Linked DNA regions of Sus scrofa. The protein of the gene in region 1 interacts with the protein of each later gene in a biochemical or structural test. Links are inferred from orthologs where the notes say so. Each region holds a gene or a part of one and is shown on either strand. Other genes may lie near its edges.

Region 1 (4,539 bases):
AACCCGACTAGCATTCCTGAGGACTCAGGTTCAATCCCTGGGCTTGCTCAGTGGGTTAAGGATCCAGCGCTGCTGTGAGCTGTGGTGTAGGTCGAAGATGTGGCTTGGATCCTGCATTGCTGTGGCTGTGGTGTAGGCCGGCAGCTGTAACTTCGATGTGGGTTCGTTAACCGTTGAGCCATGAAGGGAACTCCAGCCTGTGACCTACTGTGACCTGCAGAGAACAGCTTGGGGACACCAGAACTAGTCTGAGGCATGTCTGGCCGGCTCCCTGGTCTGCTCTGTGACTACAAACATGAGCCTGGAGGACTTGTCATTCGCTACCCTGAAGGCAGAGAGGACCAGATGATCAGCGTGCACATCTTCTAGATGAATCCGCCTTTGAGCTCTCTGAAGGGAACTGGGCCTTTGCATGGTAAATGTCACCATTTGCCAGTCCATGACCAGCTGAGTCTCACAAAGTTGCCCCGTGACCAAACACACTTTAAATGAGTTGGTTCATGAATCCAAGTTTAAATCACTTTGTGAAAAGAACCATCTGACAGTAACAGTTTATTTTGAAATTATCCATTGTTTTTTCCCCTCACTTTGATATTTTCACTTATAGAATGCTCATAAATAGAAGCACTCCATTTTTGTGGTAAGCAAATTCATTAAATTCCTATGAGCAATTCCAATTGGGATGAGTTAAGTCTGGAGTCGGGCTGTGGTCAGACCTATGACAGCGTAAGTTCTCTGACATGCAGAGAAGAATGCATTGGACAAAGTGAAACTTAAAATCTCATCTTTTCCTGTATTCCAATGATTTATTTTTTAAAGTTATTTCAAAAAATGGGGGGTGGGAGGTGGAATCATAGCCTTTTAGACCCACAAAGGAGTTTCAAATCCTCTAGTCCAAACTCCTTCATAGATGAGGTTGGTGAAGCTTGAAAAGTGTAGGTAACGGGACCAAGTAGCTTGTCTGAGGAGAAGCTGGGCTGGAACTCTGCTCTGACTCTGTCCAGTGTTCTCTTAAACTCTTCTCTCCTCATTTGAAACATTCCAGTGTCATTTTACTTTACAAAGGAGTTACTTTCTTCATCACTCACCATAGGGCAGAACTTGCCTCACTTGCTTTTCTTTTTGTGTAAGCAAGGGTAAGGGAAGGTGCACTCTCTACTTCTTGGTTCTCCTGCTCTCGATAGTTGTCCACCAGGCTGTCCTCCTCCTTCCCTCTGCCTGGAGCTTGCACTCCCCCTCCCTTGCAAACACTGTTATCTTTGGAAATATGTGTGTGCACGGCCCAACCTGGCCGTGGGATTTGAAGCAAGGTGACTCTTGGTTGAGTGGTGTTTCCATAGTCCTTGAATTTGCCCAAGGGCTTGGAAGGCTGGACAACTAACAAAAAATAAACTGCCATCCTTTGCCCTTTCAGTAGGTCTGTGTTCCATTAACACAGAATGGACAGAATTAAGAATAAGGAAGAAAAAAAGGCAGAAACAGGTACTTCACTTGAAGTACTTGCCTACCCCCCAGAAAAGTTCAAGGCTCTTGTTCATTATCTGAATTTTCCGCTTGTGATTCGCTTGTAGTCCTTAACTCATCTTCAGATTAAGGAAGCATCAGAGGAGAATAAAAAGTTGGGTATTTGCCTTGAAGTCAGTGTCCCGGCTCATATACAATCGGTGAATGTGATTTCTTTCCTCTAGTGCTGGGTGATCAGAGTGGGAGCCTTTTCCAGTGCAGAAAGCCTTCTGGCTGCCGCAGCTCCTGCGCCCTTTCACACTGCCCATTCCTCAGAAGACACTGTGAGGGGCAGGCCTGTTTTCTCCAACCTAGCACTTCCCCTTAGAGCCCCTTAGTACCCAGGAGGGCCTTGTTTTTAATCAGAGGTTGAAATGGAACCTCCCCCAGGGCGTACGGAGAGAGTCCCTTTGGGGCAGCGCCCCCCCTTCCGCAGGGCCGCATCCTGGTGGGGGTGGGGGCTCAGCCTTGATCCCAGGGCACCTCTAGTCCCTGGAGACGTCCAGCCAACCAGGTACGTGGAGGGGAAACGCTGTCCGCTGTCGATGGCGGCATATGTGGGTTTGGGGAGCAGGACTGTGGGGTTGGAGAGCGGCGGGGCGTGGGAGCTAGGCAACACCGGTGGGCACAGCCAACTCACTAACTGGGCGTCTCCGGGGAAGTTCGGGCGGGGTTTGCTGGCTCATGGGCTTTCTTCCTCTAAAATCCATCCTGGGCAGAGCAACCCCGCTTCTCACCCAAACTCGTGGAGACCAGGGATTAGGCGGACGCCGGGCTCTGGGAGGCGGGTCGGGGAAGCAACCAGCTCAGGCGGCGAGGGCCCTCCCACGCCGGTCCGCGACCCAGGGTGCCGGCCCACCCGCCTCGACTGGGGCCAGTTCCGCGGGGCGGGGGCCGACCTTACGAAAACGGCGGCGGGGGCTCTGGGACTCCGGCCCGGGCCGGTCCGACTCCCCTCGCGTCGCAGCCACTCTGGCTGGAGCGCTTGCCTGCCCGCCCTCAGCCGCCCGGCGAGGCAGCGGCCTCCTCTGCCGGCGCGGGGTCCCCTGGTTAACCCCTGCCCGCCAACCCGGCCGCTGATTGGAGGAGGCGGGGCGCCGGGGCAGCGGGGACCCCCCCCACCTTCCTCTTCCCCTCCCCCTCCTCCCCCACTGTCGGCGCTTCCCCCACCCCCCCAGGACCCCCCCGCCTCCCAGCCGTGCAAATCTCGCGAGGAAACACGCGGTTTCACTAGTGTGTTTACACCGATCACTACTAATCCGGACCGAACCGATCCGGATTAAGGGGCCGGAGGCGGGTCTTGGGCACCAGCGGTTCCGACCCCCCCGCCCTCCACGCCGCACCCGAGTGGCCCCTAGTCGAGCGGGCCCCCACCTCCCGACCGGGCCTGGGCTCTTCTGCGCCTCCCTTGGCCTTTGTCCGGCGCCAGGAGGCCGGTCCCGCGCCCCCCGCGGCCTCCCGGGCCCGGGCCCGCGTCGGGCGCCTGGCTCTGTACGCGAGCCCGGGGATCTGCGGCCTCCGAGGCCCCCCTCCCCCGCCCGCCCTCTCGTGGAGCCCGGCGCCGGCGGCGGCTGCCCGGGCGGGGGGTTGCGGCGCTCAGGAGAGGCCCCGGCTCCGCCCCGGGCCTGCCCAGGGGGAGTGCAGAGCGGTCCGCAGCCGGGTCGGGTCGGGGCCCCTCCCGGGAGGAGCGTGGAGCGGCGGCGGCGGCGGCGGCAGGTGAGAGGCTGAGCCCCGGGCGGGGGAGGGCGCCAGGCCTGAGGCATTAACCGTCCGGGCGACCCCCTCGGCTGAGGAGGTTGCGGCCCAGGCCCACCCGAGGGCCGGCGCCGGGCCGCAGCTTCTCGGCGCGGAGGCGGGAGGGGCTTCCCGAGGGCTGCGGGTCGCCGAGGGGCCGGGCCGAAGATGGGGGAGGCCCAAGCGGCCCCGGCCTGGGAGTGGGGCCGGCGGCCGGCGGGAAGAGGGGGGCGCCCCGGCAGCTGGAGGCCCCGGCAGCCTCCCGGGCGCCCCCGAGAGCTGGCCCGCCCTCCCTCCGTGACAGGTGGGCCTGGAGTTGGGGAAAGTTTGGAACCGGCGGGAGGCGAGGGGCGCCGGGACCAGGCCCCATCGGCCCTGCTTCTCGGCTGTGGGCTGCAGGGAGGATTCCAGTCCAAGGCCCCGCTGGAATGAGACAGTGTGGATCTTTCCTTAACATGAGTTGACATTAAATGGAATAACCGCTGGGGCGTCATTTTCCGGGCCAGGCCTGGGGATGGAGGTTTAGGAAATGTGCCGAGAGACCCTGGGGCTTGAGGGAGGCTTCAACCTCTGCCATTCCGGCCTCGATTAGGGCAGGGCGAGACTCGGAAGGCCACTTAGGGGAAACACTTTGAATCTCCTTTTTTTCTTTCCTTTTTCTTTTTGTTTTTCTTTTTAAAGATGCCTTTTTACCCTTCCGAAAATTTCCTTATTCTCTCTCTAATCTGCACTTGTTTGTGTGGGTGAAACTTTAATTTGCTACCCTTTTCATTCCCCTTTGCCCCAGGCTCTCAATCCAGGAAGGGAAATGAAACTGGAGGACTTTGTAGGGGTTGTTACTGGAAATTGTGGAGTTGTTAGATTGCAGAGGAGAATGTTGAATTCATGTTTTCAGGGAACTTTTCTATCATGCCAGTCATTCCAGTAGCTAATGATATGTTCGGAGGGGTTCTATGTAATGGTATATGCTCCTTTTCCACTTTTAACATTAGAAAGGTTTCCAATGGGTTCCGCAGGAGTTGATCTCTTGCAAACGATGGAGGTATTTGCTGAGAGTTAGCCTGTGCATTAATTGGTCATGGAAGGAGTTTAAAAATGGTGTCCTTCTGCCCCTCCCTGCTTGGAAGGAGTGCTAAAAGCAGATGTCTAGAGAAACCTACTGCTCCAGGGAGTGGCACATTTTGTAAAGGGATGGTTATGAAGCTACACTAATTTCCTGAGTGAATGCAGGTTATGGTTTTACCATGGGATCTCTATTAAATTTGGAATAATTAATTCCCTTTTTCATGAGCAACTGTGGGC
Region 2 (4,503 bases), on another chromosome or scaffold:
AATTAAAAAAATAAATAAAACCGACATGAGATCTAACTCATGGGAAACTTTTAAGCTTGCTGGGAACAGCGTGGGCATATGAGTCTACAATACAGCTGTAAATTTTATGAAATCTAAGCTAATTTTCAGTGAAAATGTAGCGTCCAGATCACAGACGTGTTGTTAAGTAAAATAAAGGATTTCAACAGCTTCGTGCTGAGTAACAAAATGTAAGCTACCTGTGTTGTATTTTTTAATACTGAACATATGCTGAAAAGGTGTTTCAGCTAAATTTTAATATATTTAAGAGTATGTTAAAATTAACTTTTTAAACTTTTTTAAAAAACGTGGTTAACTTCAGAAAAGTGTAAAACTAGGTGCGCTGTCACAGGTGGAAGCAGGGAGTGAGTGCGGATGTCCCTACAGTCTTCCAGACAGGGGGCGACGGCGCTCCAGCCCCAGTGTGGGAGTAAAGTTTCTAGATGTATTATGCAGTCATAAATCCTGCCAGTAAATTTTCATGACCCTGTTCAACGCGCGGGGAAGGGTGGCCTCGAGAGGTAAGTGGAAGAGGCCGGACTCGAACTCTCATTTACAGCGTGTCTACCTGAAACCTCCCCAGAGGCTCTCGAAGGGGAAAAAGCCGGATTCGAACCAAGCCCGACTCCCGCGACCCAGGCCCCCGTGAGCCCCGTTACTGTCACACCGTCTCCCTTCAGGGATGGGTTAAACGTTCACAACGTTCACAACGGACTCCCGGGCCGCTGGGCCTGAAGGGCCAGGAGACCCATAGAGAAACTTCCGGCAACGCTCACCTGCTGAGACTCCAGAGCCGCAAACGCTCTTCCTTTCTCTTCTTACACCCCGCTCAACAGCGCCGGCAGTCGACTTCCGCTCCACTCCTACGAATCCCCCACCGAGTCTTATTTCCTCCCGCCCCCCAAGGTCAACTCAGCCAATAAACTCTCAGAGAATCGGCTTTATTCCCGCCCCACCCCTGCCTGCCAATCACCGCAGGTCAAGCACCGCCCTTCCCGCACTTTAAGAGGGGATTTGGCGAGCGCCGCGCGCCACCAATTGACGGTTGGCGGCGCTGCCCGCGGCTGGAAGCACCTCCCGGAAGGGCGGGGCTAAGTCCGGACAGCGCTAGTGCGGGGACCCTCGGGATTGGCCAAGAAGAGCCCTGCGTTTTGACCCCGCCCACCCCGCCCTTGACATTCGAGTCGGAGACTCTAGGGATTGGTTCCCGGCGGACTCCCAAAGAAGCCAAGAGACTGTCCCGCCTCCCTCCCGCATCCAGAAGAGGGAGCTCCACCGATTGGTCTCGGGAGTCTCGGCGCTTGCCTACCGACGCTCCAGGATTGGCTGGGGGGGCGCTCGCGCCGCCAGGGAGCGTTGACGGTGATTGGCTGGAGGGTGGGGCCGGCTATTTGAAGGAGGCGCGCGAAGAAGATTAGCTCTTCAGACCGCGATCGGAGGAGGCGCGAGCAGTTTTGGGTAACGCTGTTCTGCTGACCTGACAAGACCCAAACGTAGTCTTGGCCCCAGCTCTGGCTTCAGCCTCGGCCCGACGAGGCAATGGCTAAGGTGTCGGTGCTGAACGTGGCTGTTCTGGAGAATCCGAGCCCTTTCCACAGCCCCTTCCGGTTCGAGATCAGCTTCGAGTGCAATGAGGCCCTGACGGACGGTGAGACTGGGCCTGCGTGGAGCGACCCCCCTCCCCTGGGCCGCCCCGACCCTCCCCTTGGAGACAACCCTGTGAAACACCCCCTCTCCCCCAAATCTGATTTCCCGTAAACCAACACCCACCCCCAGCCTTAACCTCCCCTTTGGGAAACTACCCCTTCACCGTACCCCTATGGTTACTCGCGTTTTCCCCCGTGAAAACCTCATTATCCCCCTCTTTTTCCTGTAGCTCTCCTCTTGGGTACCCGTTTTCTAGGTAGAGACCGTCAGCCACCCTGACTTTCCTGTAGCAAGAGACTGCCCCTACCTACCTACTATTTAGGGGCAAGCCGCCATTCCAGCCATTCAGTCCTCCCCACCAAAAGGCTGTCCCCTGTGGTGAGGCACTCCCATCTCACTTTTTTCCTATGGAAACCCCAACCTCCAGCCCCCTCGAATTTCTCCTATGGAAATCCAAGCCCCCTCCCAATTTCCCTATGGAAACCTCAGCACCCTCCCATTTTCCTTATGGAAACCCCAGCTCCCGCCCCTTTCCTATATGGCAACTTCAGCCCCCTGTTCCATTTTCCCAATGAAGACCCTCTCCCCCTGTGACAAGACCTCACTCACCCCCATCTTCCCATCTGTCTTCCCATAATCTCCTCCCTGCTTGCTGATGCTCTACCTGGGGAAGCATGGCCAAACAAGCATAAGTTGGTTCTTACCATTTGCCTGCCAGATTCCTGCTGACTTACTGTAGCAATTCTCCCCCACTTTTGATGGTCTGACCTAATCTGGAGGGTGGGTATGCCAGGCTGAGCCATGAAGGTATCTGGCTTCAATCAGCTCAGAGGTCACAACCTTTTGTGCATCTTTTTCAAGGCGCTTTTATAGATGTACTTATTCATCTGTGTGACAAAGGTGGACATGACTCTCATCTCACAGATGAGAGCATGGGATCCACAAAGAGTAAAACACCTTTTTTGTACTTCTATAAAAATCAAAAAAAAATCTAAGGTCATTCAGAGAGTTTTGGCACCACTTTCGGGAGAAAGTACTCCATTAGACCTCTTCTCCACTTAGTGGTTAAGAGGCAGCGGCTAAGGAGGTGGAGATCTGTGAGGCCAGGGTGTGCTAACTAGCACCTCTCAGTGGTAGGTGTGTGCTTTGCATGCAAATTAGCCACTTGGTCTAGCCTGGAGTTGATAACCCTTTTGATATATGTGTGTGTGTGTGCTTAGACTGGGCCAATGGATCAATCTTCCCTGTTTCTCTCCTTTCTAAATTAAGGAATCTACTTGTGACTATAGTATAAGCCCAGTTAAATCCTTTCTGGAACAAGACAGTGTAAATAAATAAAGTGAAGAATCACCCTGTGGAATAAGATTTCATTTTAAAGCTAGGAGGAGATGTAAGGAGCTAATAGGTTAAGGGATTCACAGAGCCAGATGGCAGAAGATTGAGTTTCAGTATGTCTGTTTGTGATCCTCGGGGTTAAACATGGTTGCATGGTCATTATCTAGTACATTTACTCCTACAAAGTTCCTCTCCTGTTACTTTACTAATCTGTTACTAGAATCAGCACAGGAAAGGCTAAAGTCAACCTGCTGATCATTATCTTTCTTTTTTTTTTTTCTTTTTTAGGACTGCACCCACAGCATATGAAGGTTCCTAAGCTATGGGTCAAATTGGAGCTACAGCTGCCGGCCTACACCACAGCCACAGCAACGATGGATCCAAGCCTCATCTGCGACCTACACCACAGCTCACGGCAACGCCAGATCCTTAACCCACTGAGCTCAGCCAGGGATCAAACCAGCAACCTCATGGTTACTAGTCAGCTTCATTAACCACTGAGCCACACTGGGATCCCCGGTCATTATCTTTTAATAGAGAGAAATGGAATGATTTCTCCAAGGTCACATAGCCAGTTTGTAGAATTATTGACACTAGGTCTTGTCTCTGAGTTCTTTGTCCAAAGTTCTTTATCTTTCTGTAACCAGGGAAAGGCCTCTCCTGTGGAATGTAAATAGGACTGACCATAGATTTTATTTCCACATGAAAACACTGTCAAAAGAGGGAAAGGTGGTGCTATTATTAATTATACCTGGACAGTGAAGCTTTTGCTCAGAGAAATTCCAGTTAGAAAACCTGGAAATGTAGAGTCTTTTGTTGTACCTCTAGGGCTATCCTTGACTCTGACCTGCCAACTTGCTTTCTGCCTCTTCCCACAGAGCAGAGAGAATTTGTTTCCTGCCTCCCAAACAGATGGAGTGGGTCTGGCTTTAGAATTCTCTCAGATCCTGGAGAAATCTCAGTCTTGTTTCCTAGTGACTTCAGATACTGGTAACTGAAGATTTGAACACTCAGCCCCCAGTCTGACCCATTTCTCAAGGGCTCTGAACCTCTTTTGCTCTCTCTTCTTCTTAGCATCTGGAAATAGATGTTTGCAAATCATGAGTCCACATTCAATACATTAGATGTGTTTTTCCCCTATTTAATTGAGAAATTCAACGGATGCTGCTTGAATAAGTCTTAGAGCCAGATGTTCTGACCCACACTTAACATGCTATAGACAAGCCAAGGTTCATATGTATGATTATAAATAAAGGGAAAATGATAAACAGAAAAAGCCCTATTGGTTAAGTTGGTTTTGTTTTTTAATTTTTGGCTTCACCCATGGCATGTGGAGGTTCCCAGGCCAGGGATCGAACCTGCACCACAGCAGTGATAATGCTGCATCCTTAACCATCAGGGAACTCCAATAAGTTGTTTTTAAAATCACGGAACAGATTCTCCAGCTAGTTGAACTACAGTAATTTTGTTTTTACATGTCTTTCATCATCATTGGTTTGGGGT

What was found.
Region 2: of the proteins of TLK2 (region 1) and ASF1B, one has a biochemical effect on the other in vitro, tested with the Homo sapiens proteins (3 studies listed by BioGRID). The link is inferred for Sus scrofa from reciprocal best matches to the Homo sapiens genes TLK2 and ASF1B.

Annotation. Positions count from the first base shown.
Region 1 is NC_010454.4:16,253,746-16,258,284, reverse strand, and holds the start of TLK2 (serine/threonine-protein kinase tousled-like 2), read left to right. Parts: upstream 1-1,642; 5' UTR 1,643-2,017; exon of another isoform or gene 2,018-2,309; coding exon of another isoform or gene 2,310-3,266; intron 3,267-3,438; exon of another isoform or gene 3,439-3,541; intron 3,542-4,539. Other genes in the region: uncharacterized protein LOC110256160, read right to left, coding at 2,310-3,266. UniProt on the Homo sapiens protein: Serine/threonine-protein kinase involved in the process of chromatin assembly and probably also DNA replication, transcription, repair, and chromosome segregation. Phosphorylates the chromatin assembly factors ASF1A and ASF1B.
Region 2 is NC_010444.4:65,061,720-65,066,222, forward strand, and holds the start of ASF1B (histone chaperone ASF1B), read left to right. Parts: upstream 1-1,466; 5' UTR 1,467-1,557; coding exon 1,558-1,666; intron 1,667-4,503. UniProt on the Homo sapiens protein: Histone chaperone that facilitates histone deposition and histone exchange and removal during nucleosome assembly and disassembly. Cooperates with chromatin assembly factor 1 (CAF-1) to promote replication-dependent chromatin assembly.